Linked DNA regions of Macaca fascicularis. The main gene of each other region encodes a partner of the protein of the gene in region 6 in a complex. Links are inferred from orthologs where the notes say so. Each region holds a gene or a part of one and is shown on either strand. Other genes may lie near its edges.

Region 1 (4,596 bases), on a different chromosome or scaffold from region 6:
TAGTTTATGTTTAATGTTAAGAACCCTAATGATGAGGCTGATGTTACTTCTTGTAGTCCTTGCAGTGTCTTCTGCTTACTGTTTTCTACTTACTGTTTTCCACTGTTTGCTCAACAAACAGTTATCCCTCAATAATACCATACAAGTTTGAATTCCATGATTGTAAGTAATCAACCCGTTGGTTTTTTTCTTGCTGGGTTTTTTGGCAAATGGATGCAAAACGTAGAATTGTTTGAGAAAATTAGCTAAATTCTAGGCCTTGGGAAGAATGAGGTCTCTTCTTGAAACATATTGTTTGATATTAGGAGTTCTGAAGATGACAGAAATGCCTATGCTTAATGGCTAATAGACAACAAAGTAGGGAAGATTAAAGGTTCATGTAGAATAACTGTAACTTCTAATTGTGGACTTTTGCTATGTTTTATGTAACAGTCAAATTTTTAAGAGGCATATTTTTGAAAATTACATAATTTTTTATGTTCTCTTTTAGTAAATCACATTTTTTCCCCTTCTGATTTAGCTGTAGTGATCCTGTGCAGCGAATTGAGCAGTGTACACGAGGTTCTCTCTTCATGTGTAGCATTGTTCAAGGGTGCAAGAGAACGTATTTGTCTCAGAGAGACTTACAGGCTCATATCAACCATCGCCATATGAGAGCTGGAAAACCTGTTACCCGTGCTTCACTTGAAAATGTTCATCCTCCTATTGCCCCACCACCAACTGAAATCCCTGAGCGTTTTATAATGCCACCAGACAAGCACCATATGAGCCATATTCCGCCAAAGCAGCACATCATGATGCCACCACCTCCTTTGCAACATGTGCCGCATGAGCACTATAATCAGCCACATGAGGATATTCGTGCTCCTCCAGCAGAATTGTCCATGGCTCCACCTCCACCTCGATCGGTCAGTCAGGAAACCTTTCGTATTTCAACAAGAAAACACAGCAATTTAATAACCGTCCCTATTCAGGATGACTCAAATTCAGGTGCTAGAGAACCACCACCTCCTGCCCCAGCACCTGCTCACCATCATCCTGAATATCAGGGTCAACCAGTGGTATCGCACCCTCATCATATTATGCCTCCACAGCAACATTATGCACCACCCCCACCTCCTCCACCACCAATAAGCCATCCAATGCCACATCCTCCCCAGGCTGCAGGTACTCCTCACTTGGTATATAGCCAAGCTCCACCTCCACCAATGACCTCTGCTCCACCACCAATAACCCCTCCCCCTGGACATATTATTGCCCAGATGCCACCTTATATGAATCATCCTCCTCCAGGACCTCCCCCACCTCAACATGGTGGTCCACCTGTAACTGCACCCCCTCCTCACCATTATAATCCTAACTCATTACCCCAATTCACTGAAGATCAAGGAACTCTGAGCCCTCCATTTACACAACCAGGGGGAATGAGTCCTGGTATATGGCCTGCACCAAGAGGGCCACCTCCTCCTCCACGATTGCAGGGTCCGCCTTCTCAAACCCCACTTCCTGGACCACATCATCCAGATCAGACGAGATATAGACCGTATTACCAATGATAATAGTATTTTGAACTGAAGATATGAGGAGGAAAAAAACTATGTATAGTCAATCTTTTAATTAAGCTTTGACTGTTTTGGGAAGGAAGAGTACCTCTTACCGAGGTAGTATAAAACACATAGGGTCTTGTTTCTTAAAATGGTTTTAAATCTTGACCTTAAGATTGATTTCAAGTACCATACTGTAGTACAGATAAGTGGCTCAGTTGAGCACAGCTATATTTTAACATCTTTATTCCCCTAATTTAGTAAATTGACCCAGAGGTGACCATTTGTAAAAAATTTGAAAAAATTTTTCATTGTTTTACTTCAAAAGTATTGTTTTGTTAAACCCAACGTTTAGTTTTTCTTGTGATACATTTTGTTAACCTGTGTAAAAGGATTAAATTTCAATAAGATTGTAAAAATGCTATTTTTATGTGAATTTAAGTGCAGCCACATACTGTTTTTTAAACCATATGTTTTACCACTAATTTCCCAAAGTTATAATAAAATCCTAAAAGCAAAAATCTAGAATTTGCTGTAAGGCAGACTGTTAAATGATAGAGAGTTATTTCACATTTTAGGCACTGAAATGTTGAGGTTTCGAGGTATAGTAAGTATACAATGCACTTCACTTGGATGCCTTTTCATTTTTAGGCAGCCTCAGGAGCACCAAAATACATTGGAATTCTAGTACTAAGATATATTTGTTTGTAATGTTAAAAGGCATTACTAATTATTTGGAAAGAGATGGCCAAAGTAATCAACTCTACAGGCTTCAAGCTGGTGGGGAATGCTGTTACTCATTAATGCTTTTTTACTGAATGGTCGGAATCACATATGCACCACACATACTGATCTTAAGTAACATTATTTTATAGAACTGTTTAAATGGTGTTATTTAGATGAAATGTGTTCTGTTTTGTTCATTGTCTTAAACTGAATAGGGCTGAATAGGCTTTATGTAATTCTTCATTTCATGGTAGAGTTTGATGCTGTGTTTAAGTGGGTTCTTGTTTATAGGATTTTCAACTGCAGTTTGAATGCCATGGAGGAATTTGAATAATGTATTAATGAAGGACATATTCTTGTAATCACAAATTTGCATTTGCTCAGGTTTCATTGCTGTGTGATAGAATTTTTCCTCTAACTTGAAATTTAAAAACTTTTATTTCCTATTCCTTTTGTTGGTAAAGCAGTCTGAATTTGGAACATTTTAGCTTGGAGTCAACAGTGAAGACTACCAGATAATTTTGTATTGGAGAAGAGGAAAGTAACAGCTAAATTGTGGATTTCAGTGCTTTACATGGTGCCTTTAGAGTCAGCTTTTACATTATAGGGGCTTGTTATAGTTCAGCTAAGATGACCACTTAACAGTTTATACAGAACTCATGTGTATAAATCAACGTTCTTAGGATATTATTTATATCCTTTGAATAAATCCCTGTGAAGTTTTTCCTCCCCACTAAAATGGTGCATAATAAAACATGAAATGTGTAGTATGCAGATATCATTTATTAGATAGTTTGTAGTATATACATTTAGAACATACTTCTTTTGACAAAGGGTGAACTGATTGCTAATTTACCATTTTATTCTGTCAGGTACAGGTGAAACAAATTCTCATCTTGAATGATCAGATGCAAAATCATTTCTGAACCCTAGGAGCAGAAGTTAGAAATAACAAAATGGCCATTTCAACCTTGACTGGCCAAAAATAACTAATAAACTTTTTTGTTTTAAGTCAGGCAAGTGATTTTCTACACTTCACAGTTTGAAAGTCCAGTGTTAATGCAATATTTCTAGTGAGAAATGCTTGTTATTAAAAGCATGGGAGTGAAATAGTGTGAAATGTTGGTGGTGAGTGCTTCTATCATGTTACTGTAGGTACTTGGACTGGTGCAAACTTGATTCCTTTTCATGCCCCTGTTTAGGAGCTATTAAAATGTTACTGTTAAAAATCCAAACCATTTCTTTGTTCCATGTAATAAGAAAATAGCCAAAATCACTTTAGAGCTTCTCAGCTATTTATGAAGAGCTGTCCTGCTTTTATTGAAAGTCACTAGAGTTGAATGTGGTAAGCAACCACTTAGCCTATGTATTGGACGAGAAAAATCAGTATCATAAAATTTTGAACTAAGAGAACTCTTGTAGAGTTTTAAAAAAATGATTTATTTTCAATTAGGTTTAAGAAATCTATGTTATGCAGGGAGGCATATCAGATGAATGTTGTAGTAGACAAAAGTTTTAAATCGTGTTAGACTTGAATTCATCAATTGTTTGAGGGTGGGTGGGTAGAAGGATAACAAAATTACTGTTAGTGCTTCTTTCCTTACGGAAAAAGATGTGAATCCCAGCCTTATTTCAGGGAAGCCTTTGAAGCTATGATGGACATAAGTCTAAATTAAATGTATGTATGTTTCATTATATTGCTCTTAAGACTACTGAGGTGGCAGTTTAATTCTTAAAAACAATAAAATGGAAGCATAAATACTATTTTGCCTAGATGAATTTTTATGTATTGGCACATTTGGAAGAATGCAGAATTTTCCATGTTTATGTTGATAACTTTCTCCAGTATAATTAAGTTCACTTCTAAAAGATTAAAACCATCAAGTTGAATGTTACATTTCTTCAGTGGCATGTTTATTCAGAATATACAGTATTTGGGGAAATATCTGTTGCAAAGACTATAAGAAACTATATTCATTTTGCCCTGTAAAAACTACTTGCTCAAAATTATCGTGTAAATACTAATTAAATACCACTGAAATGTAAATGGAAGAGATATTTGAACATATCTTTTAAACTCAATAAGAGGCTGTATGAAGTATACAGAACTGCTGAAGGCTTTGTTCTGACTAATATATTGGAAGAGTATCTTTTGTAATCTTTTTTGGAAAACTCTACAGTTCCGTCTTTCATAAAGTTTTTGAAAATGAGTACATTATGAGTACATGAAAAAAGTGCATGAGTACTCAGATATTTCTTCATTAGATTACCCATCAAATTAGTATGTTGATGTTAAACGTGTAAACACTATATTCCGATTAAAGTG
Region 2 (5,093 bases), on a different chromosome or scaffold from region 6:
AACACAGGCACACTGGGCCACATGGAAAATGACATCACCCAGGAGTTTATTTCTCTTTATATATATATTATTTCTGCAGTTACCATCCTTATCTGAGTTATCACAATTCATGAATCTAAGAGGCAAAACTACATCATTAGTAAGAGGTTTTACCAAAGTCTAAAGTTGTATTCACTTGTGTTTGATGCAATATCTTCAAAAGATCATAGATCTATCATTATTTCTTGGACATAATCTAATGAAAAACAGAAAAGCCACCTAGTTGTAACAGCATAAGCAGAAGTTTACAGCACGATAGTCCAAGTGGTGATAACCTTAAATAAAACTCAAATTTTTACTGTCTGTAAAACAGGAAACGCTCTCCTAGAGAACCTCCTCCTCAACCAACCATGTACATAGTTTTATCCTATGCATTCCTGTTTTCTGTGGGGTTTTTTTTGTTTTGTTTTGTTTTTTGAGACAGCCTCACTCTGTCACCCGGGCTGGAGTGCAGTGGTGCGATCTCAGCTCACTGAACCTCTGCCTCCCAGGTTCAAGCAATTCTCCTGCATCAGCCTCCTGAGTAGCTGGGATTACAGGCGCCTGCCACTACGCCCAGCTGATTTTTTGTATTTTTAGTAGAGACAGGGTTTCACCATGTTGGCCAGGCTGGTCTTGAACTCCTGACTTTGTGGTCCGCCCACCTCGGCCTCCCAAAGTGCTGGGATTACAGGTGTGAGCCTCTGCAACCAGCCTGCATTCCTGTTTTTTTAATGATTTTGGAGGGTGGAGGTAGAGATGGGGTCTCACTATTTTGCCCAGGCTAGTCTTGAACTCCTGGGCTACAGTTACCCTCCTACCTTGGCTTTCCAAAGTGCTGGGATTACAGGTGTGAGCTACCGTGCCTAGCCTATAATGATCATTTTAATGTTTCCCATGCACTCATTTAGTTTGAACCCTCACAGCAACCCAATGAGGTAATACTCCCATTTCACATATAAGAAATACTGAGAGATGAGTTGCACAAGATTACACCCTGTTAAGTGGCAGAGCCAGAATGGACTTCAGAATCCCAACTACAATACAAATGTTTATTTAAATAAAGAAGAAAGCTATTGTACAAATATCACTCTTCAGGTTTAGTTTATAGAGCCATGGCTATGGATTCTTAGCTCTGTAAGGAAGTACTTCTATAAATTCTTAGGTTTAGAGATGATACCATCTGGGTACCTTTGCTTGAACCGTGCAACCACATCTGGGTCTAGCAGGTGGATCCCATCCAGTTGGTTTCCAAGGGTGATCCTGAAACGGGAAAAGGAGGAGCAAACCAGAAATCCTGGAATTAGAGGGTTTAATAGTGTTAAAAAATGCATACCAAGTGAAGACTGCCTATCATCATATTAAATATGCCAATTCTTGTAAAAAGAACTTAACATTAGAATAGTATATGGCAGAATGACTAGTTCAGAATTGGCATAGATTCTGGTGTTAAAATAGACTGGATCTGTATTATCTGAGGGTTAGTAACTAAGGCTCAGCCAGGCCTGCTTCACAGAGTTGCTGCTACCAGGGAGTACTCTTTGGATAAGCAAAATGCTAGCAGCATGTGTTTTAAGCTCTATTAAAGGGGTGAAAGATGTAATTATTGACAGATTAAATAGATAACTTGATAACCACCAGGGGCAGATTCAATACATCACAGAATGGCTGAGGAAGATCCTTAGGTTGTGAAGAGAACAGAAACCCTAGGGAGCAGTGCTTTGGGTCCTAGAACCTGTTGAGTTTCTAATGAATATTTGTAGAATCTCATAAAACAGTTTAAATACAAGCTTAAGTGGCTTATGAATCCTCTGAAGCTCATTTATGGACTAGTGGAATACAGTGTGAAGCTCTACTAAGTTATGTCCTTAATCATAAGTAATAGCCCCTTGACGACTAGCCTGTTCTCTGGTCACCTTACCAGTTGGGTTGCACATTGTGTGGTCGTCCAAATAACTCAATCTTGCGAGTGCCGGGAGATAGTCTTTCAATCATGCCATAGATTTCATCGGGTTTATGACTGGTGGAACGAACCTAGGAAATAAAAAGTAGCTGCTTTTTAAGTTACACAAGATTGCAATTCTAGCCCCTTCTATTATGTTTATGATCTAAATGAGAAAAATCTGGGATGAGAATACACCCAACATGAATAACTGATACCAACAGAAATGTGGAAGCTTTGGACGCCTGGGAAGCACATACCTCAGCTACGATCACATCACAATCCAGACCCTGGTTGAAGCCTTGGGGATTTCCTTTGACACCAACCTGCTCACCACAGATAACAGATTACCTTATGAAACCACCTTTTGAACTTTTTCTCAGTAAGAAATCAAATGATTCTTCTTTTGTGCTCCACCTATTGAATTGGGCCCCACTGCTGCTCACCAAGCAGTGTTCCTTCCCATGGTTCAACCAGTGACCTGTACGGCCTGTCCGAATGATGCGTTGCAGTTGATTTGTCTTCACCCAAATAATTTCATCTACCCGTTCATACCTGTGGGGCATAAAAAAGAACTAGAGTTTTAGCCAAACGTACAGTTTAGGGGTAGTACCATTTATAGAAGCAAGGAATCACAGAATACTCTGGGAGAAGAAAACATGTATCTCACTATAACAGTATTACCCTCCAAAGAAAGCAACACAACCACTACTTACCCCCAGAGGTTTAGACATTCTCTCCCCAACTCCATGGCCCTAGGAAGAAATGAGTTGAACAACTATTTGTATGCCCTTATTTTTTTTCCTTCAAAATATATGATGCGTTAAAAACACCATAAACACCTTTTCAGTAGACATTCAGTGAACATTTACATGCACAACACCAAAAGCAGCATGGTGGATCTAAGAATGAAAAGATAAAACAGTATTCTCAACAACCTTACCTTTCTCAAAGAACAAATGTAAAGTTAAATATATATTCAGGGTATAATTTGCATTGTAAATGGGCATTAGGACTCACTAGAAAAAAAGACTGGCTGGGTGTGGTGGCTCACGCCTGTAATCCCAGCACTTTGGGAGCCCGAGGTGAGTGGATCACAAGGTCAGGAGATAGACACCATCCTGGCTAACACGGTGAAACCCAGTTTCTACTAAAAATACAAAAAGAAAAAATTAGCTGGGCATGGTGGCACGTGCCTGTAATCCCAGCTACTCAGGAGACTGAGGCAGGAGAATTGCTTGAACCCGGGAGGCCGAGGTTGCAGTGAGCTGAGATCACACCACTGCACTCCAGCCTGGGCAACAGAGTAAGACTGTCCCCCGGAAAAAAAGACTAAACCAGTCATACATTTAATAGTAGGGCTACGAAAACCCAGGATTTTATCTCCCACTCAGTATTCACTCTGTACTGTATCTGAGCATACCTACATAACTGAATTGCATTACCTGCCTGTGACCCAGAGGAAGAGAAAGCCATCATCCTGTAGTACGGGTATGTTGAGCCTGCGCATCTCATCATCTGTCAGGGTCCCATAGGGCAGCTCCATGTGAATATCCCAGGGTGGGTCAGCCATCACAACTGCAAACTTGCCCAATATACTGACGTCCAGGTAGCGGATATCACAACAGATCCACTGCATAAAGTGGTATTTGGTCATCTTCCCTACTTTAACTCTCAGATTCATGGCCCGAGTCCCTCTTTTCCATTTGATTTTTCCTATTCCCTTACAAGCTTATCTATCCCCCTCCATTCCCAATAAGCAAAACAAGATTGCTGAATTATGCTCTGCTTTCTTAACGTGTATGGCTGCCCTACTCAAAATCTCTTAAGTTGAGACGAGTTTTCTGAGCAGACAGGTACCTGAGGTGGGAAGAGTCGGTCTGCACTGGAATCACCTCCGACACTCTGTGTAAGAGCAAGCTCCTGGCTTGGCGTGTGGTCTTTGCTGCCAGGGGCCTCAGAATCCATGCAAGCATCAATTTCATAGTGAACATACTTGCAGGTATCCATGTGGAAACATGTATTAAGGAAAGAGCAGTCACCTAAAGACTCATCAGTGTGTTTATTGATAATTCGTCTGGGAAAATAAAAAGGGAGAATCAAGATTGTGCTCCAGACGTACATCCAACAGTTAAAATTCCAAATGATTTCAAAATTCTCCTATTTTATTACCCTCCCCTAATTCTATTGCTAGAGCTTTCTCCAAGAGTTTTAAGGGAGGCAGGTAGCATGGAAATCCGTAATTCATACTACAGAACAATTGTAATTCATCTCTCAGTAAAGACTGGGTTTCCTGTTTTACCACTGGAAGGCAAGCAGTGCAGGGGACTTAGTTGGTTAGAACAGAATAAAACACTGACCTAAGAGTTCAGGTTCCTTTTCTCCTAAGATTATCCTGCTTTCAGAGTACTTTAACTTTCACTGTGGCTGAGAGACAGACATACCTTGTTATTCTAAGGAGGGAGCTTTTTCTTTTAAAAAAAAAAAAAAATGTTATTTGGGAGTACAGCCTGTATTCTTCCCTCACAATGCACTTCTGAAAGTATACCTTCAGGGTCTGGAGTACTTACACAAACCATAAACTAAGTAAGATTACAGACAGAACCCCAATGACTGGAAAGAATATGCTGAAAAGGAATGGCTGCTTCTGACAAACCCATCCCACCTCATTCCCTTCCAAGAGACCTGAAGTGCAGCTTGCGACAGGGTCGATCAGCATCACTGGCTTTCATGCACTCCTCCTTGGTTCCATAGTCACAGAATTCTTGCACTTGGGCCCGACCTCGAGAGCGAAATTTTTCAACAATGGATTGTTCCTTGGCTGTTGTAGTATTTAATAGCTCTAGGATCTCCTGACTGACCTGTGACAGAAGTACCCTTGGACTTAAAATGTCTTGTAGATCAAACTGGCTCTTAGACCAACTCTGCAAATTCTTTTTGACATTAATGTCTTACAAGAGATAAATCAGCTAACTTTTTTTTTTTTTTAAGAGATGGGATCTTGCTGTCACCCAGGCCAGAGTGCAGTGGTGTAATCATAACTCACTGTTTCTCCCACTGAACTCCCAGGCTCAAGTTATCCTCCAAGCTCAGCCTTCAATTGTAGCTGGGAATACAGGTGCAAGACACCATG
Region 3 (5,111 bases), on a different chromosome or scaffold from region 6:
AGCCAGCCGCGGGCAGTAGCTTCCATCAAGCTCTCCGGTATTTGAAGTGGCAAGCCACTAAGCTTGGCATGCCTCTGGTGCATGTTCACACAGACTGGGTGTCTGCTTGTCTCCCTGAATTATTTCTCTCAAATCTTGTGCTCCCTCAACCCCTATCATGAGGTCTGGAAAACTACTGATTTGGTCATTATCTTTTTCTTTGATCAGTGAGTCACCTTAGCAGGTCAATTTAGGTTAAAAAGTCACTCTAGTGCCTGGTTTATTATCTCGATTGGCTGTTATATTGAGTAATTAGATAATGGCTTAACTTCAATTTCCATTTGTGGTCTATTAATATAACCTTGAAACATTTAAACCCAGGTAAAACTTTTTCTTTTATTTCATGCTTTTACAAATAATATGTTCATGTATTTTTTATCCTCCAGCATCCAGATTTTTATCTTTAAATACCATTTCCCACTAAAAGGAACCAGAGCTCTCTGGAGAAATGGCTGACTCCACAACTGGGGCAGGAAATGTATATCAGGTAAGTCTGGAAGAAAACAATGGAGAAAGGAAGAGTGGGAAGAGTGATGCAGATGAAACAAGATTGACATGATTTGATAATTGTTGAAGTAGGGTGTTGGGTACACGTGGGAGTTCTTTATTCTTTTATGTATTTTAAACTTTTTCTATAAAAATAGTTTAAGGAAAGTTAAAAATGATATTTTCTAAACTGAAGGAGTAATAGTGCGCCCTTTGTAGAAACAAAAGATTTCTACAAAGAAAAGTGAAGTCTCCCTCCGACTCCAGATCCTTACACCCCTCCTCAGGGCAATCCTGGGAACAATTTCCCACGTAGTTGTCAAGAAAGTTTCCACGAAAATATTTTTAAATGTACATACTCATAAAATACAAATATTTTTAAAACCACAAATGGTAGCGTATTATACACGTTATTTTATGCCTTCTGAAGTTTTATTTCCTATTTTAATACAATGAATATGTCTACACATTACAATATTGTGGATTTTTATGCTTTACAATTGAGCTTCTTCCTTCAAGTTTCTTTGATTTATTCAAGAGATAAAAGGCCTACAGCTTCATATTCCTCAGGATTATTTACAAAAAGAAGGATGGCTCAGCCAAGGCTAAATTTAGGTTACAGTTCCTAATATTAACAGTTTTCAAGTTTAGGTTTCAGCTTTTGGGACATTATTGTTACCCTGAAAAATGTCATGTTTAAAAACACCTCACACCTCTACTATAGATTGGATCTTGGGAAATAGGGTTGAGGACGGGATCAATATAACCTCCGCCCCGGCGCATACCCGGGAGAGCTGCAGACGGTCTAAAGGATGTGGTGACCTCAGCGCTGCGTCCCTGCAGCAACCGGCGAGTGCTGAGGCACAGGCCATATCCCCCTAAGCTCGGCATCGCCTGCACCTCTCACAGGTGCTCTGTCCGCCACAGTAACGCTCTATGGAAATTAAAGTTGTAAGGCGAACGACAGAAGGAGCCAAACGAGGTGGATCCGGAGCCGCCACAAGGTGCCTGTGCTGCTGGCTTTTAACACACAAAAAGAGGAGTGCCAAGGAATACAAGAAGCCACAGGGGGAATAAAAAGCGACATATCTGCATGGAGCCTAAATTTCGCTCGATGATTTTCAGGGAAGAAGCATTACATATTAAAAACAAACATTGCTATTTTACGGGAATACCGGATTTAAAAATCCACACAGATTCGCAACATAAAACAGGCAGCCCAAAGACACGTCCGCGGTGTCCTGACAGTTCCGGCTCCGCCCGCGGGCCACGAGGCGGGGATCGACGGTCACTCCCCTCGGTTGCCCAGAGTACTTGGGCGGCAACGGGGAGCGCCGGGGGGAGACAAGCTCCTGGGCTAGGGCTGCGTCTTAGCCACCTTGCTTAGCTCTCGAGGTCCCGCGTGTTACGTGTTAGCACCGCCCCGGGGCGTCAGCGTGACCCGGGGCTGCAGGAACCGTGAACTCCCTGCCCCGCGGGCCCAGGTGACCGCGGGCATCGCTCTCCCGCGCGCGGGGGGCGGGGCTTCCCCCGGCTGTGCACTCAGCTACCACAGCGACATAAGATGGTGTCCGCTAGGCGTCCCAGGACGGCTTCCTAAGGGACTGGAGGGCCCCGACAGCCGGAGAGTCTGCCCCGCCCCTTGGCCGGCACAGGTAGGACGGCGGGGAGCTCAGAAGTTTCGAACTCCAAGGGCCGAAGCACAGCCAAATACCCCACGGAACTTAACAAATGTTTGTGGGGAGAACGCCAAAAACGCGGGGAGGCGGGGCTGGCGCACAGTCACCCTCTCGCGACATCTAAGTGACGTCGCATAGCAAGCACGTGTTCTAGTCTTTCACCTTCAGTCAGCCTCCTCCGTTATATGGGCCTGCCCCTTTAAGCGAGTGATGGACAGTTACTTCAGCCTATCAACTTCCTTGCAGACATCCAATCAGATTTAAACTTCTTTTAGCCGCCGGAGGAGTTGGAAAAAGGGGGTCGAAAGAGGGAGCTCACCGTCTCTCGCGATATCGCTGTGAGCCTGCCTCTCGGAAAAACGCCGAAACTTGGCCCCACCTCCCAAATAGTGGTTTAAAGGACGGGTTTACAAGCCAATGAAAGGGATGAGGAGGCGGGGTTGCTGCTTTCACTGAGCAAGAAGTACCGTTACAGGGCAGACTTTTTGTCCAATCAACACAGCTACACTTTGGGTCACGTGACCGCAGAGTGCGAGGGGCGGAGCTACAGCCTGGCGCGAGGAACCGTTAAGATAGACAACAAATGTAACCAATGAGGTACTCTGACTAGGGGGTTGGGAACCCAATAACAGTGGTTGGGCGGGCGCCTTCCTGGAGCGCGGGGAGATGTAAAGATAGACAAATAATTTTCCCAATGAGACTGTAGAAGAGAGAGCTAATTGGCCAATGAGGACTGCGGGGCGGGACCCTGTGCCGCGGCGGAGTCCAAGATGGCGGCGTGCGGTTCCGCTGTGTGAAACGAGCGCGGGGCGGCGGGTTGATCAGCTCCGCGGAGACGACCTCCGAGGACCCGCAACAATGAAGGGAAAAGAGCGCTCGCCAGTCAAGGCCAAACGCTCCCGTGGTGGTGAGGACTCGACTTCCCGCGGAGAGCGGAGCAAGAAGTTAGGGGGCTCTGGTGGCAGCAATGGGAGCAGCAGCGGAAAGACCGATAGCGGCGGCGGGTCGCGGCGGAGTCTCCACCTGGACAAGTCCAGCAGTCGAGGTGGCAGCCGCGAGTATGACACCGGTGGGGGCAGCTCCAGTAGCCGCTTGCATAGTTATAGCTCCCCGAGCACCAAAAATTCTTCGGGCGGGGGCGAGTCGCGCAGCAGCTCCCGGGGTGGAGGCGGGGAGTCACGTTCCTCTGGGGCCGCCTCCTCAGCTCCCGGCGGCGGGGACGGCGCGGAATACAAGACTCTGAAGATAAGCGAGTTGGGGTCCCAGCTTAGTGACGAAGCGGTGGAGGACGGCCTGTTTCATGAGTTCAAACGTTTCGGTGATGTAAGTGTCAAAATCAGTCATCTGTCGGGTTCTGGCAGCGGGGATGAGCGGGTAGCCTTTGTGAACTTCCGGCGGCCAGAGGACGCGCGGGCGGCCAAGCATGCCAGAGGCCGCCTGGTGCTCTATGACCGGCCTCTGAAGATAGAAGCTGTGTATGTGAGCCGGCGCCGCAGCCGCTCCCCTTTAGACAAAGATACTTATCCTCCTTCAGCCAGCGTGGTCGGGGCCTCTGTAGGTGGTCACCGGCACCCCCCTGGAGGTGGTGGAGGCCAGAGATCACTTTCCCCTGGTGGCGCTGCTTTAGGATACAGAGACTACCGGCTGCAGCAGTTGGCTCTTGGCCGCCTGCCCCCTCCACCTCCGCCACCATTGCCTCGAGAGCTGGAGAGAGAAAGAGACTACCCGTTCTATGAGAGAGTGCGCCCTGCATACAGTCTTGAGCCAAGGGTGGGAGCTGGAGCAGGTGCTGCTCCTTTCAGAGAAGTGGATGAGATTTCACCCGAGGATGATCAGCGAGCTAACCGGACGCTTTTCTTGGGCAACCTAGACATCACTGTAACGGAGAATGATCTAAGAAGGGCGTTTGATCGCTTTGGAGTCATCACAGAAGTAGATATCAAGAGGCCTTCTCGCGGCCAGACTAGTACTTACGGCTTTCTCAAATTTGAGAACTTAGATATGTCCCACCGGGCCAAATTAGCAATGTCCGGCAAAATTATAATTCGGAATCCTATCAAAATTGGTTATGGTAAAGCTACACCCACCACCCGCCTCTGGGTGGGAGGCCTGGGACCTTGGGTTCCTCTTGCTGCCCTGGCACGAGAATTTGATCGATTTGGCACCATACGCACCATAGACTACCGAAAAGGTGATAGTTGGGCATATATCCAGTATGAAAGCCTGGATGCAGCGCATGCTGCCTGGACCCATATGCGGGGCTTCCCACTTGGTGGCCCAGATCGACGCCTTAGAGTAGACTTTGCCGACACCGAACATCGTTACCAGCAGCAGTATCTGCAGCCTCTGCCCTTGACTCATTATGAGCTGGTGACAGATGCTTTTGGACATCGGGCACCTGACCCTTTGAGGGGTGCTCGGGATAGGACACCACCCTTACTATACAGAGATCGTGATAGGGACCTTTATCCTGACTCTGATTGGGTGCCACCCCCACCCCCAGTCCGAGAACGCAGCACTCGGACTGCAGCTACTTCTGTGCCTGCTTACGAGCCACTGGATAGCCTTGATCGCAGGCGGGATGGTTGGTCCTTGGACCGGGACAGAGGTGATCGAGATCTGCCCAGCAGCAGAGACCAGCCTAGGAAGCGAAGGCTGCCTGAGGAGAGTGGAGGACGTCATCTGGATAGGTCTCCTGAGAGTGACCGCCCACGAAAACGTCACTGCGCTCCTTCTCCTGACCGCAGTCCAGAATTGAGCAGTAGCCGGGATCGTTACAACAGCGACAATGATCGATCTTCCCGTCTTCTCTTGGAAAGGCCCTCTCCAATCAGAGACAGACGAGGTAGTTTGGAGAAGAGCCAGGGTGACAAGCGAGACCGTAAAAACTCTGCATCAGCTGAACGA
Region 4 (5,290 bases), on a different chromosome or scaffold from region 6:
CTAGAGGGCAGCAGGCACCTCAGCAGAAAGGAGGTAGGGGGTGCTGGGCTTGATACCCTGCCCCTTGATACCGTATGTCTTAGCCACCCAAGAGAGCTGGAGGCCACAGCTTTAGGAGGAGTGAGTCTGGATACATTGGAGGGCCTTAAATTGTGGCTCAGTACAAGCAAGACAGGGTGTGTGGAGTGTGGTTTTCCGCAAGGATGCCTTCAATAACAGTGCATGTCAGCACTGACATCTCAATGCTGTTGGCCTGGCCACCTACTTGCTTTTTTGTCCATTCCAAGCCTCTGATGTCTATTCCAGTTTTTGCAAGACTAGCAGGAGTCAGCTTATACAAGGAGGGAGTGGGAAGCTGCCTTTTGCCTTTGTTTACCCTACATTAGTCAAACAGTTGAGGTCCAGGGTTTTTCTGGAGTCTGCTTCTTAAGCCACGCTCTGTGGCATTGGTGCTTAGGAAACCCAGTTGTTAGTGTGAGCTGTGGCTCAATGAAAACACCTGTAGAAACCACCTGAAAGGACGAACTAAGAACCAGTGCTTTCCAAGGAATTGCTCTTGCCTCAGATCACTTGTGTCTCCTAAGCTCAGTTTGCCAGTAGGAGGCCTTACAGGCTGCTGTGGAACCCGTTGTTTTCTTCCAAGACCTTTCCCCCTGCACCTGCCTGAGCTGCTCCAGGAGCTGCTTTCTCATTGTGAGAAGATGCCATGACTTGGTGTGCTCTTCCCCATCGCAAGGATTCTGTGCCGGGAATTGGGTCAGGTTCTACCATGGCTCCAGCAACTGTCCTTGGAGAATGAAAGCTTCCTCAATAGGCTTGAGCACCTGGGCACCCTTTCCCTCACCTCACCTGGGGAGAAGAGGTTCTCGTGAAGGTGATGAACAGGAGGGTACTGGCCAACGAAGGGTCAGCGTGGCAAACTGATAACGGCTGGCACTATCTGTGCATATGGCCTCTTCATCCTTAGCTCTTGTGGCCCTACCTTTCCAGCCTGCTGTCTGCCCAGATGCCCACAGAAGAGGGTGGGACCCAAGAGTGGTGTTAGAGAGTCTATTCCAACTGAACTGCAACTGCAGGCTTGTCTCCGCTTACCTGAATGACAACAATTGTCCTCATGGCATTTTCGGGGACTCCTGCAGGTGAACCTACACGTGGAGAATGCGCGGAATGTGGGCCTTGGATCCTGGACAGGGGCTAAGGAAGGGCATGCATTAGTCCTTGGGGCTGTCAACCCCAGATCCCAGGCAGGAGAAGCCAAGGAGGGTGATGCGGGGTTTGCTCAAGCCTAGTCCTGGGACTGAGGGGATACTAAAGAGACCACTGACTGGGTTAATGCCCCAGACCCAACGCCCATGGAAACTGTCACTCTTGCTCCAATCAGCGCGGGCTCCAGCGCCTGCAGGAGGAGGTAGTTGGACCCAAAGCGGCAAAGCACGCCAGGGAGCACAAAGCGTTAGGTCGTCCCGCCGGCCTCTCAGGGTTCCCTACACTCCGCGTAGCCTCAAGCATCTGCCATACGGGCCGCGCGGTGGCGGCAGAGCGCGCGGCCCAGGCCCACTCACCCGGCACTCACAGGGTCACATGGCACTGGGCGACGCTGCGCGATGAGGCAGGCCCGGCGCGGATCTCGCCCCGCCCGCCGCAGGGTCACGTGGCACGGCCGGCGCAGCTTGATAACGCAATGCCCGGCCCCTAGGCGCCGCTCCCGCCCCGCCCCGCCGCCACCGCCGCGCCGAGTCCTTTTGTCCAAGATGGCGGCGCCGGGGGCGCTGCCTCCTCGGCCGCCGCCGCCGCCGCCGCCGCTGTGAGAAACCTACGGGCCGCCCGCCCGCCGCGCCAGCGCCATGAAGCGGCAGAGCGAGCGAGACTCTAGCCCGAGCGGGCGCGGCTCGTCATCGTCGGCCAAGCGTCCGCGGGAGCGCGAACGGGAGGCGGAGGCGGGCGGGCGGCGGGCGGCGCACAAGGCCTCTGGCGGCGCCAAGCACCCGGTTCCAGCGCGGGCCCGCGACAAACCCCGCGGCAGCGGAAGCGGCGGGGGCGGGCATCGCGACGGCCGCGGCACCGGGGACGCGAATCACCGCGCGAGTAGCGGGCGCTCCTCGGGCTCCGGCGCTGGCGGCGGGGGACGCGGCGGCAAGGCCTCGGGGGACCCGGGCGCCTCCGGCTTGTCGCCCCGCGCGTCTCCTCTGCCGCCGCCTCCGCCACCGCCTGGGGCCGAGCCCGCGGGTCCCGGCTCATCCGCAGCCGCGCCTGAGTACAAGACGCTGCTCATCAGCAGCCTGAGCCCCGCGCTGCCTGCCGAGCACCTCGAAGACCGGCTCTTCCACCAGTTCAAGCGCTTCGGCGAGATCAGCCTCCGCCTGTCGCACACGCCTGAGCTGGGCCGTGTGGCCTACGTGAACTTCCGGCACCCACAAGACGCGCGCGAGGCCCGCCAGCACGCCCTGGCCCGCCAGCTGCTGCTCTACGACCGCCCGCTCAAGGTAGAGCCCGTGTACCTGCGCGGCGGCGGCGGGAGCAGTCGGCGAAGTAGCAGCAGCAGCGCCGCCGCTTCCACGCCTCCCCCAGGGCCGCCCGCGCCCACCGACCCGCTCGGCTACCTTCCGCTGCACGGAGGCTACCAGTACAAGCAGCGCTCGCTGTCCCCCGTCGCTGCCCCGCCCCTGCGGGAGCCCCGCGCCCGCCACGCCGCCGCAGCCTTCGCCCTGGATGCCGCCGCTGCCGCCGCTGTGGGACTGTCCCGAGAGCGGGCCCTGGACTACTACGGGCTGTACGACGACCGTGGGCGCCCCTATGGCTACCCAACTGTGTGTGAGGAGGACCTGATGCCCGAGGACGACCAGCGGGCCACGCGCAACCTCTTCATTGGGAACCTGGACCACAGCGTATCTGAGGTGGAGCTGCGACGGGCCTTCGAGAAATATGGCATCATCGAGGAGGTGGTCATCAAGAGACCTGCCCGTGGCCAAGGTGGTGCCTATGCCTTCCTCAAGTTCCAGAACCTGGACATGGCCCATAGGGCTAAGGTGGCCATGTCGGGCCGAGTGATTGGTCGCAACCCCATTAAGATAGGCTATGGCAAGGCCAACCCCACCACTCGTCTCTGGGTGGGTGGCCTGGGACCTAACACCTCACTGGCAGCTCTGGCCCGGGAGTTTGACCGCTTTGGGAGCATTCGGACCATTGATCACGTCAAAGGAGATAGCTTTGCCTATATCCAGTACGAGAGCTTGGATGCAGCCCAGGCCGCCTGTGCTAAAATGAGGGGTTTTCCCTTGGGTGGACCAGACCGCAGGCTCCGCGTGGATTTTGCCAAAGCAGAGGAGACTCGGTACCCCCAGCAGTACCAGCCCTCACCACTCCCTGTGCATTATGAGCTGCTGACAGATGGATACACCCGGCACCGCAACCTGGACACCGACCTGGTGCGGGACAGGACGCCCCCACACCTTCTGTACTCAGACCGAGACCGGACTTTTTTGGAAGGGGACTGGACCAGCCCCAGTAAAAGCTCTGACCGCCGAAACAGCCTTGAGGGCTACAGTCGCTCAGTGCGCAGCCGGAGTGGTGAGCGTTGGGGGGGAGATGGGGACCGTGGTTTGCCCAAGCCCTGGGAAGAGAGGCGGAAACGGAGGAGCCTTTCCAGTGACCGTGGGAGGACAACCCACTCCCCTTATGAGGAACGGAGCAGGACCAAGGGCAGTGGGCAGCAGTCAGAGCGGGGCTCCGACCGCACCCCTGAGCGCAGCCGCAAGGAGAACCACTCCAGTGAAGGGACCAAGGAGTCCAGCAGCAACTCCCTCAGCAACAGCAGACACGGGGCTGAGGAACGGGGCCACCACCACCACCACCACGAGGCTGCAGACTCTTCCCATGGGAAGAAGACAAGAGACAGCGAGCGCAATCACCGGCCCACGGAGGCCGAGCCCAAGCCTCTTGAAGAGCCAAAACATGAGACCAAAAAGCTGAAGAATCTTTCAGAGTATGCTCAGACACTACAGCTGGGTTGGAATGGGCTTCTGGTGTTGAAAAACAGCTGCTTCCCCACGTCTATGCACATCCTAGAGGGGGATCAGGGGGTAATCAGCAGTCTGCTCAAAGACCACACTTCTGGGAGCAAGCTGACCCAGCTGAAGATCGCCCAGCGCCTTCGACTGGACCAGCCCAAGCTCGATGAGGTCACACGACGCATCAAGCAGGGGAGCCCCAATGGCTATGCGGTCCTCTTAGCCACCCAGGCAACCCCCAGTGGGCTTGGCACTGAGGGGATGCCCACAGTGGAGCCAGGTCTGCAGAGGCGGCTTCTCAGGAACCTGGTCTCCTACTTGAAACAGAAGCAGGCCGCAGGGGTGATCAGCCTGCCAGTGGGGGGGTCCAAGGGCAGAGATGGCACAGGCATGCTCTACGCCTTCCCACCCTGCGACTTTTCCCAGCAGTACCTCCAGTCAGCACTAAGGACATTGGGCAAACTAGAAGAAGAACACATGGTGATAGTCATCGTCAGAGACACTGCCTAGCCCAAGCCTGTCTTTCCCGGCGTCATGTTTGTGTCACAAAAGCAGTTATTTTAAAAATCTGATCCCCTGTCTACCTTACCACTTTGGTTTGAATTATCTCCTGGGTTATTTTGGTTCATTTGGGTGGGGATCAAAGTCCTGTCCAGCACCAAAACTAAGTTCTTAGAATTTGGGGGAATTTTTTTTTTTTTTTTTAACAATGATGAGAAGGGAATCCGGTTATGTTGATTTCTAGTGTACAAGATACTGTCTGCTGTGGTTCTGTATTTTTTTATTTTTTGACCAACTGTATGGAAAGTTGTCAGTAAAACCTTTGTCAGGATGGATTTTTAAACCTGTTCAGAGTCCTGGTTTAATCAAGCTAAGAATCGAAGACTTCCCTAGTGCATGTACACGAATGTCCTACGTCATCTTTCCAGCACCACTGCTGCATAGGTCACTCTCAGCCTCTCAGTTCTTCAGGCTGAGTCTGGACTCTAATCACTCATTTTTATCTTGGCTGACAGGCAAGCTTCAGTTTGGGCTCTGGACCCTGCCACACAAGCCCGAGTAGAGCCCATGCAAAGGAAGGGATGGGGTGAGCCCAAGGCCTGTGGTTAGCAGCTACTGATGGTTTTTTTCTTCCCTAAACGGTGTGTGTGTCCATCATCAGTTTGAGCTGTGGCTGTTGGACAGAGTGCCCACTCAGCATGTTTGGCAGCAGGTAGCCTTCAGCAGCTGTGTAGTCTTGTACAAAGAGAAGCTGTGCACTGTTGATGCCAGGGGGCCTCAGG
Region 5 (4,135 bases), on a different chromosome or scaffold from region 6:
CGCGATGGTGCCACTGCACTCTAGCCTGGGTGGCAGAGCAAGACTCTGTTGCAAAAAACAAAAAACAAAAAACAGAAAAGAAAAGGTTAATCAAGAGAAAGTACAGTATTTAATATACTTCTGAAGACTGGACATACCTGTATCAGCTAAACAAGCAAAAGCAGCAGTTACTTTCAAATAAGTTGTACCTCAGTTTTCAAGTATTATAATTCCACTTCCAGGGTTCCTGGATTGTATTACAAGTTATGTCTAAAACAATACTTTTTATGTTTTAGACATAACAATACTTTTTATGTCTAAAACAATACTTTTTTCTTTTAGCAGAAATGGAATTTTATTTCAACCATATATGAAAGCTACACATTTTTAAGGCCATTCAATATCATAGACTTTATACTTAATTACCTCTGAGAAAATGGAGCAAACTTTGAGATTCTTCCACCTTAAAAACATTCTCTCCTACCTACATTCTAACACCCCTTACTCATGTAATATTACCAGGTATGTTGTTAGTAAAAATCAGTAGTACTGGCAAGTGTTTTAAAACAAACATCACTGACTACAAAGATACTCTACTTAAAATCAGGTCACAAAAAACAAATCCTGCTTTTCAATTAAAACTCAAAAAGGGCCAGGAGCTGTGGCTCACTCCTGCAATCCCAACACGTTGGGAGGCCAAGGCAGAAGGATCCCTTGAGGCCAGCATGTGCAACACAGCAAGACTTTGTCTCTACTAAAAATAAAATAAATGTAGCTGGGTGTGGTAGTGTATGCCTATAGTCCCATGTACTCAGAAGGCTGAGGTGGGAGGATCACTTGAGCCTAGGACTTGGAGGCTGCAGTGAGCCATGACTGCGCCACTGCACTTGAGTCTGGGTGACAAAGTGAGACCCTGTCTCAATTTAAAATAAATAAATAAAAATTAAAAAACCCCTAAGAAATATTTGGATGACTATTTTCTTTATACTTCTCTGTATTTTCAAATATTTTGTAACAATTATAAGTCAAGAAAAAATTTTAAGTGTAGACCTAAACTCCAGCTCCATTTTGCAAAATAAGGCATAAATTAAAAATTAAGTGCAAAATCAAAATCGATGCTTAGTCTTAAGTTTCACTGTTGTAGTACTTGAAAGATAATGAGTAGAAATTCAGTGACTCAGTGAAAATCAATGACAAATGCTAAACAGACACCCAAAACAAAACAAAAACGCTAATTAAGGAGTTACAATAAAAATCTTTATTTAGGTTTGGTCAGTACAGGTAAGATATACTGGAGTCACAGAGCAATATGCATTAACAGGATACAACAGTTCATAAAAACTGAGTAACTATGCACACAAATTTCTTAAACATTCAGTCACCTAAAGAGAAAATGCACAGATGTATGGTGGAAAAAACTGTATCTAACACTGAAACTACTACAGGACTCCATCAATGAGTCCAACTTTTAGTGATAAAAAACTACTGTACTGGGCAAACTTGGCAGTCATAAACCCACATCTACTCTAACAAGTCTGAATGGTGCATAAGTACAGTAACAGCATGAGGAAGAATGCCCTTACACAGCACAGGTTCTAAACAGACATAGATTTATACAGACGTCATTGTGTTATATTTTAAGGAAAAATTTCCATTTACAATTTCACATTAACTCATATAAAAATAACTTGACCCTACACAAAATGTTCTTTTAGCAACATTCAAAGTAATTAACTGTTACAATTTCCAAAGTGGCAGAGGTATTGAAGCAAAAAAAAGAAAAAAAAAAAAAAAAAAAAAAAGAAAAAACAAAGAGAAAACAACAACAAAAAACCAAAACGTACACCCACAAAAAGGCAAATTGTGACAAAAGTTTGCATTAATTTTCTGGACAGTATCCTCTCCCAAATTAAATGACACTGTATAAAAATTTGCTGAAAAAATATTACAAAACTGAACCCTGTACATTTACACTTGAGTCCAAGCCATTCTGAACGTGGCGGGAACCCACAGTTCGGTTACCTTTCCCACTCACTGCTTTCTCCTCTTGAGGGTCATGATTGGAGTCTGTGTCATTTGATTGGTGTGTGAGAGAGTTTTCACTGCCCGTGGGAGAGTCTACACTTTCATACCCCGCACTGAGTTGATTTACGTAACCACTACCTCCTCTGCCAGTTCTCTCCTCTGAGCTGTTGGAGGACTTATTACCATTCCCTGGAGAAGAAGGAAAGTCATCTTCGGTTGTGTTGCCCTCCCTGTGAAATCCAGACCCAGACGTCCTCTGGCGGGAGGAGCTACCATTACTTGGTCCGTTTGTCAGACGACTGCAGTCTTTACTTGTGGCCTCCAACTGTTCTACAGGTTCAGAAGCTGTAGTCCTGCTGGTACTTGGGGCAGAGGCCTGAGACTGCTGCTGCTGGTACTGAGCCAACTGCTGGCGTGTCTCCTTCAGCTGCTGCTGCAGAACGAGAATGGTACTCTGCATACCCTCTACTTCTTCATCAAGCTGGATGATGAAGTCATTCAGTTCTGTGCAAAGGAGAGTCAAACCAAGTTTAATATCGCTTATAACATTGAAAAATGTTTCTTTAGTGCCTGCCACAAAGCAAGGCAGTCAATAAATGCCTAAGTAAACAAATACAATTCTTTTTTTTTTTTTCTTTGAGACGGAGTCTCGCTCTGTCGCCCAGGCTAGAGTGCAGTGGCCGGATCTCAGCTGGGTTTATGCCATTCTCGTGCCTCAGCCTCCTGAGTAGCTGGGACTACAGGCGCCCGCCACCTCGCCCGGCTAGTTTTTTGTATTTTTTAGTAGAGACGGGGTTTCACCATGTTAGCCAGGATGGTCTCGATCTCCTGACTTCGTGATCCGCCCATCTCGGCCTCCCCAAGTGCTGGGATTATAGGCTTGAGCCACTGCGCCTGGCCAACAAATACAATTCTAAAATCGCACTACATTTAACAATTTTGCTTGGAATCTTAAAATATGACTGAGTTTGTTTTGAGGGAAGTCAGATACTTAAAATAATACACAGTTGGCCCTCCACATGCACCCATGGATTCAACCAACTGTAGAAGGAAAATATTCAAGGAAGAAAAAACTGGGTCTATACTGAACATGTACAGATTTTTTTTTTCTTGTCATTATCCCCAAAACAATACAGTAAAACAACTATTTTCATAGCATTTAGATTGCATTAGGTACTGTTAAGTAATTTAGAGATGGCTCAAATGGGAAGATGTACATCGGTTTGTATGTAAATACATCATTTTATATGAGGGGCTTATCTGTGGGAGGTCCTGATACCAATCCACCATGGATACCGAGGGCAACTGTATTAAGCAACCAAGTTAGAATTGTTTTAGTCCATCTTGCCATATGCCTGATTACAGCCCCAAAGTTTGACTCACGTTTACCTATGGACCCACTATGGCCAGTCCCCATATTCCTGACCCAGTGCCTTAGTTCCATGCAGCTCTGGCCCTTAAGGGCAGCGTGGTCCTCTATAACACTCCAAAGAGGCCCATGTTCTCAACCAAGGACTGTTATACATATAAGGACAAAAGTCACAGGAAATAATTCCTGAAGATTTTGAAAAGGTAGGTGGTTTAGAAGAAATTACTTGGCTACTGATCATCTTTGCAATTAACCTGAGACACTAATTTTCAATTTAAAATTTCCAAGAATCTGGATATTTTCCTTACTAATAATGCACCTTACAGAGAGGAGAGGCTGGGTGCGGTGGCTCACGCCTGTAATCCCAGCACTTTGGGAGACCGAGGCGGGCAGACCACCTGAGGTCAGGAGTTCGAGACCATCCTGGCCAACATAGTGAAACCCCATCTCTACTAAAAATACAAAAATTAGCCGGGAGCAGTGGCGGGCGCCTGTAATCCCAGCTACTTGGGAGGCTGAGGCAGGAGAATCGCTTGAACCCGGGAGGTGGAGGTAGCAGTGAGCTGAGGTCACGCCACTGCACTCCAGCCTGGGTAACACAGAGTGAGACCCTGTCTTAAAAAAAAAAACAAAAAACAAAAAAAAAAAACAGAGAGGAGAAACAGGAGAGATGCAGCTACACTTGCACTAAAAAGGATGGAGGCTGACAAGTTTTGTTTATCTCAGCAAATTTAAAGATTAAATCTCTTATTCACTAATAAA
Region 6 (4,596 bases):
CTTTTCTCCCCTCTCCCCAAACACTGCTGCAGAACTTTGATCACTTTTATTCTTTCCATTGGTCTGTTAGTCAATCCTTGGTCAGTATTTCAGCTTCATATTTGTGTTGAGGGTCCTTTAGCTTCTTTGAGCTGCCTTGTGTTTTCTTGACCCTTTACTTTTTCATGTCAATTTTAGAAAACAGTTTTTAATTTCATAAAAAATAGTTGGATTTTTATTTCAAATGCATCAACTTAATTTATAATATTTCCAATATTTTTTACATTTTTTTTTCCTGGGTATCCTCTATTTTTGTTGCCATTATAAATAGTGCTTTTACATTTTGTAAGATAAAAAAATTTTTTAATTATGCATTTACATGGTTCAAAATTTTGAATGTATAAAAGGACATATAGTGAAAAGCCTCCCTTGTACCCTGACCACTCTTTTGCCAGCTTTGTAGGTATTCTTCCCAAAAAACATTTTACGCGAGCAAATAAATATCCATTTGATTTCCCCTCTGGATTTACAAAAATAATTTTTAAAAACAGTGGAAAAATCTATGTACTATTTTATATCCTACTGTTTTCAACCAGTAAAAATAGCTTTCATGTCTTTCTTTGTGGTAAACAGCTATTTTCTTCTTTTGGCACATGTTATCTATTGTAGAATATACCATAAAGTCAGCAAGTGCTGCATTACTGGGTATTTTGGTTTTCTAATCTTCATCTCTTTCAGACAATGCTTTAGTGAATAACTGTGTACATATGTCACTAAATGGTGTCTCTTAAAACATTGCATTTTCTAATGCTTTGTTGGTACATGGAAATGGTAATTGGCATTTGTATATTAATCTTACATTTAAAGGATGTTGCTGTATTTTCTTGATCTAATTAGATTGTCTTAACAAATGTTCCTAGGAACAGACTGATTTGGCTCTTTTCTGATTATTAATTTTCTGTCAGTAACCTGCTGAGCATCTTTATCAATACAGTGTTAAATATAAGTAGAGTGGGCTTTGCTTTGTTTCAGATTTTAAAGGATTGTTGCTGGCATTTTATTACTAAGTATGGTGTTTGTGGATTTTTTGCAGATGCTTTTTATTGCGTTAAGGATTAAGTTCTCTCACCCCATTTTAGTTGTCAGAAAATACTCTGTTGAAAGTCAGTTCTTTGGGAAATGTATTTGTTAACTCTTATTTTGTGGCTCAGTGGTCTGTTTTTGTAAGTGTTCTACATATGCTTTCAAGGGAGTTGCATTTGTAATGGTTGAATGCAGAGTGTGTCTCTAAGATAAAGTTTGTTTAACTACACTTTCAAATCTACATGTAATTTTTCTTAGTCTACTTGTTCTGTCATTACAGAGAGGTGAGTTAAGTCTTCCACTATCATTGTGGAATTTGTAGATTTGTTCATTTCTTCTTATAGTTTGATCATTTTTTTGTTTGAATACTTTGAGGCTTTGCTCTTAGGTACACATAAGATGAGTTATTTATTTCTTTATTCATTATAGAATGACTGTTTATGCCAGGTTCAGGTTGAGCATCCCTAATCTGAAATTCTCCAAAATCTCAAACTTTTTAATGTATTTTCTTTTTTTTCAACTATTGCCACTAGCAACTCTGACAACAGCCATTTTGAGAGCTGACATAACACTCAGAGGAAATGCTTATTAGAGTATTTTGGATTTCCAATGTTTCAGATTAGGGATGCTGAATCAATATAATGCAAATATTCCAAAATCCAAAACACCTGTAGTCCCAAGCATTTCAGATAAAGGGCATTCAGCCTGTATTTTTCTTGAAGATTGTTTTGCTGGCAGCTGTCTTTTGGTTAGTATTTGTTTGATATATCTTTTGCCATCCTTTCAGGCTTTATTATTATTTTTTTTAATGTAACTCTAAACAACATATAGTTTTAGACACATTAAATCTCCTCATTGTATCTTCTCTCATTCTTAACTTGCAAATTTTTCATCTCTTTATCTGTTTTGCCTCTAGGTCATATTCTCAGGCTTAACTTCTAGTTTACCAGTTTTTTCTTAGCTGCGTCTGATTTGATGGTTAACCCATTCATTCCTAGATGTTATAGGTAGCCTTTTTGTAGTCTTTAAAAATGTTTTACATTTTTTCTTCCTGGTCTTTAATTATTAAAATATTTTTCATATCTATTTTGATTATTAAAATACCCATAGAATCATGCTGTAATTCTTTTAGGTCTCAAAAGCCTGTTACATTTATATTCTTTGTGTTTTTGTTTGTTTTTTAAATCTTGGGGAAGTGCTTTTTGATTCTGACTTTGGGTGGGTTAGTTTGTCATATGTTCTTTTAAGTTTGGAGTGAACTCATCTTTGTCAAGATTGATTTGTGGTAATTCTATGAGGTTAAGGGCAGGGCCCTCAGAGTTTCTGTCTGTTTTTGCCAGATATTCCTAAATTATCACAGCCCCAGTACTGCTTCTTTCTCTACTCCTAACCCTCCCTGCTCAAAAAAGGTTTTTTTGTTTTTTTGTTTTTTTTTTATTTCATTTTGTTTTGAAGTAATTAGGAATTCACAGGAGATTGCAAATAAATGTACAGGGAAACTTTGTTTATCCTTCTCCCAACTTCTCCAGTGTTAACATCTAACATCCTACCTGTAGTGTAGTATCAAAACCAAACAACTGACATTGGTACAATCCATAGAGTTTATTCAGATTTCACCAGTATACATGCACTTGGGTGTGTGTCTGTATGTAGCTTTATGCAGTTTTATCATATGTGTAGCCCATTTCCATAGTCAAGATACTCATCTGTAACATCCTAAGATTGCCTTTTATTACCCCCTTATAGCCACAACTCTCGCCTGGCCCCCGGCCCCAACCCCTGGCAGCCTCTTACGTGTCCTTTATCCTGTAATTGTCTCATAAATGGAATAATGCTCTATGTATCCTGTTGAGATTGGCTTTTTCACGCAGCATAATTTTTTCTTGGGGTTCATCCAAGTTGTTGCATATATCAGTCATTTATTTTTATTGCCGAATAGTATTCCATGGCATGCATGTGCCACAGTTTGTTTAATTGTTCACCCATTGAAAGACATTAGTGTACTTTGCAGGTTTTGGCTGTTATGAACAAAGCCACTGTGAATGTCTGTTTCCCACATCTGTTAATGAAAATTTTCACATACAATTTAATGTCATTAACCTTGGTGTTCTATGTTGGAATGTTTTCACTGTAAACTGTATTTAAGCAATAATATATACCCATTTTTTTCATTATTTTTATATATCTGTGAATTAGATATGAAGAAATAGTTTTTTTTTTGGCGGGGGGACAGGTTAACTTTAATGAATCTTATAATTTTATCGTATGACTTTTATATAGATAGAGAAAACTGGAACTTTGTCTACTCAGGTCAGTCATTGGACACCTTGGTTGTTCTGATTCATTGCTTGATACTCTTTTCAGGAGGGATTACCACACTTTGGAATATTAAATATATATATTAGTGGTTTTTAGGAGGAAAGATTGTGACTGATGAAATTTGTTGAATAAAGTGTATGGGGTAAACATTTGTGTGACTGTCCTTTGTTTAGGAAGTCGAAGCTCAAGAGGTTCTCAAATTGATAGTCACAGTAGTAATAGCAACTATCATGACAGCTGGGAAACTCGAAGTAGCTATCCTGAAAGAGACCGATATCCTGAAAGAGACAACAGAGATCAAGCAAGGGATTCTTCCTTTGAGAGAAGACATGGAGAGCGAGACCGTCGCGACAACAGAGAGAGAGGTTTGTCAAACAGAATTTTATTAAATAGTGAATAATATCAATTGGGTGAATTGTTTTTTAAAACAGTTACCAATTTACTATTTAATGTAAAATATATTTTAAGGCTTGTGCTTGATGACACACTTGAAACTATTATATATACTCATATAATCTTTGTTCACATGGTTTGGGAGGGATTATGTCAATAGCTAGTGACCAGTACCTACTGGCAACAAAGTGCAAAAACTTGGGTGCCCTGCTGTGTGTCTCTCATCTTAACCAAATAGCTTACAAACCTTTAAAGTATGTAGATGGTTGGGTTCCATTCCAGGCAATTCTGATTCAATAAATACCTAAACTTCACATCTGAGTATCCTGGCTACTCACTCATTCGCTGTGATCAATAGAATTTTATAAGGACTTTCAGAGAGGAGCAATAAAAAAATTAAAAAAAAAAAACCAATGATAGGGCTAGGGATTGTTTAGAAAAATATTTTATTTGTATTCTATCCTGAGAAGATATGGTATTTGCTTTAGCTAATTTTGCATTCTTATATGTCTTAAGCCAAAACTTTTTCTGTTCATCTATCTGATGATCTCTTAAATCAATTTTGAAGCAAGATTAGGAAGCACTTTTAAGAAGGATGTAAATACTTTCTTTGGCAAGCTTTTGTTTCTGTACTTACTCGGGCCTTTAAACATTAAAAATTTTATGAAGGTCTTACTAACCTTGGCTGAAGTAAGGTTCACTATAATGCCTAGATTAATATAGCATGAAACTTGATGGCCCAGAGAATTGAATATTGATACTTTACTATGGGCTGAATCAAAGAGGTAATATTATATCTTGATTGGTTAGTAGTAGAAGAAT

What was found.
Region 1: ZC3H13 (region 6) and CBLL1 share a complex: the UniProt entries of both Homo sapiens proteins name them as parts of the WMM complex. The link is inferred for Macaca fascicularis from reciprocal best matches to the Homo sapiens genes ZC3H13 and CBLL1.
Region 2: ZC3H13 (region 6) and METTL3 share a complex: the UniProt entries of both Homo sapiens proteins name them as parts of the WMM complex. The link is inferred for Macaca fascicularis from reciprocal best matches to the Homo sapiens genes ZC3H13 and METTL3.
Region 3: ZC3H13 (region 6) and RBM15 share a complex: the UniProt entries of both Homo sapiens proteins name them as parts of the WMM complex. The link is inferred for Macaca fascicularis from reciprocal best matches to the Homo sapiens genes ZC3H13 and RBM15.
Region 4: ZC3H13 (region 6) and RBM15B share a complex: the UniProt entries of both Homo sapiens proteins name them as parts of the WMM complex. The link is inferred for Macaca fascicularis from reciprocal best matches to the Homo sapiens genes ZC3H13 and RBM15B.
Region 5: the proteins of ZC3H13 (region 6) and WTAP are in contact, whole or in part, in a cryo-EM structure (PDB 7VF2), measured with the Homo sapiens proteins. The link is inferred for Macaca fascicularis from reciprocal best matches to the Homo sapiens genes ZC3H13 and WTAP. Residues at the interface, in NP_001317494.1 of Homo sapiens: Arg1512, Pro1514, Gly1515, Ala1516, Ala1517, Leu1518, Lys1520, Phe1521; in NP_001257460.1 of Homo sapiens: Asp202, Glu203, Asp206, Phe207, Gln210.

Annotation. Positions count from the first base shown.
Region 1 is NC_088377.1:149,292,853-149,297,448, forward strand, and holds the end of CBLL1 (E3 ubiquitin-protein ligase Hakai), read left to right. Parts: intron 1-520; coding exon 521-1,556; 3' UTR 1,557-4,034; downstream 4,035-4,596. UniProt on the Homo sapiens protein: E3 ubiquitin-protein ligase that mediates ubiquitination of several tyrosine-phosphorylated Src substrates, including CDH1, CTTN and DOK1. Targets CDH1 for endocytosis and degradation.
Region 2 is NC_088381.1:89,173,283-89,178,375, forward strand, and holds the end of METTL3 (N(6)-adenosine-methyltransferase catalytic subunit METTL3), read right to left. Parts: intron 4,822-5,093; coding exon 4,646-4,821; exon of another isoform or gene 4,626-4,645; intron 4,038-4,625; coding exon 3,821-4,037; intron 3,594-3,820; coding exon 3,406-3,593; intron 3,111-3,405; exon of another isoform or gene 2,981-3,110; intron 2,863-2,980; exon of another isoform or gene 2,803-2,862; intron 2,716-2,802; coding exon 2,677-2,715; intron 2,516-2,676; coding exon 2,407-2,515; exon of another isoform or gene 2,359-2,406; intron 2,287-2,358; coding exon 2,221-2,286; intron 2,053-2,220; coding exon 1,940-2,052; intron 1,282-1,939; coding exon 1,170-1,281; 3' UTR 1,057-1,169; downstream 1-1,056. UniProt on the Homo sapiens protein: The METTL3-METTL14 heterodimer forms a N6-methyltransferase complex that methylates adenosine residues at the N(6) position of some RNAs and regulates various processes such as the circadian clock, differentiation of embryonic and hematopoietic stem cells, cortical neurogenesis, response to DNA damage, differentiation of T-cells and primary miRNA processing.
Region 3 is NC_088375.1:123,969,529-123,974,639, reverse strand, and holds the start of RBM15 (RNA-binding protein 15), read left to right. Parts: upstream 1-2,050; 5' UTR 2,051-2,930; coding exon 2,931-5,111. UniProt on the Homo sapiens protein: RNA-binding protein that acts as a key regulator of N6-methyladenosine (m6A) methylation of RNAs, thereby regulating different processes, such as hematopoietic cell homeostasis, alternative splicing of mRNAs and X chromosome inactivation mediated by Xist RNA.
Region 4 is NC_088376.1:114,405,057-114,410,346, forward strand, and holds RBM15B (putative RNA-binding protein 15B), read left to right. Parts: upstream 1-1,736; 5' UTR 1,737-1,844; coding exon 1,845-4,517; 3' UTR 4,518-4,851; downstream 4,852-5,290. UniProt on the Homo sapiens protein: RNA-binding protein that acts as a key regulator of N6-methyladenosine (m6A) methylation of RNAs, thereby regulating different processes, such as alternative splicing of mRNAs and X chromosome inactivation mediated by Xist RNA.
Region 5 is NC_088378.1:11,231,244-11,235,378, forward strand, and holds the end of WTAP (pre-mRNA-splicing regulator WTAP), read right to left. Parts: intron 2,509-4,135; coding exon 1,925-2,508; 3' UTR 1,215-1,924; downstream 1-1,214. UniProt on the Homo sapiens protein: Associated component of the WMM complex, a complex that mediates N6-methyladenosine (m6A) methylation of RNAs, a modification that plays a role in the efficiency of mRNA splicing and RNA processing.
Region 6 is NC_088391.1:25,181,459-25,186,054, reverse strand, and holds part of ZC3H13 (zinc finger CCCH domain-containing protein 13), read left to right. Parts: intron 1-3,554; coding exon 3,555-3,746; intron 3,747-4,596. UniProt on the Homo sapiens protein: Associated component of the WMM complex, a complex that mediates N6-methyladenosine (m6A) methylation of RNAs, a modification that plays a role in the efficiency of mRNA splicing and RNA processing.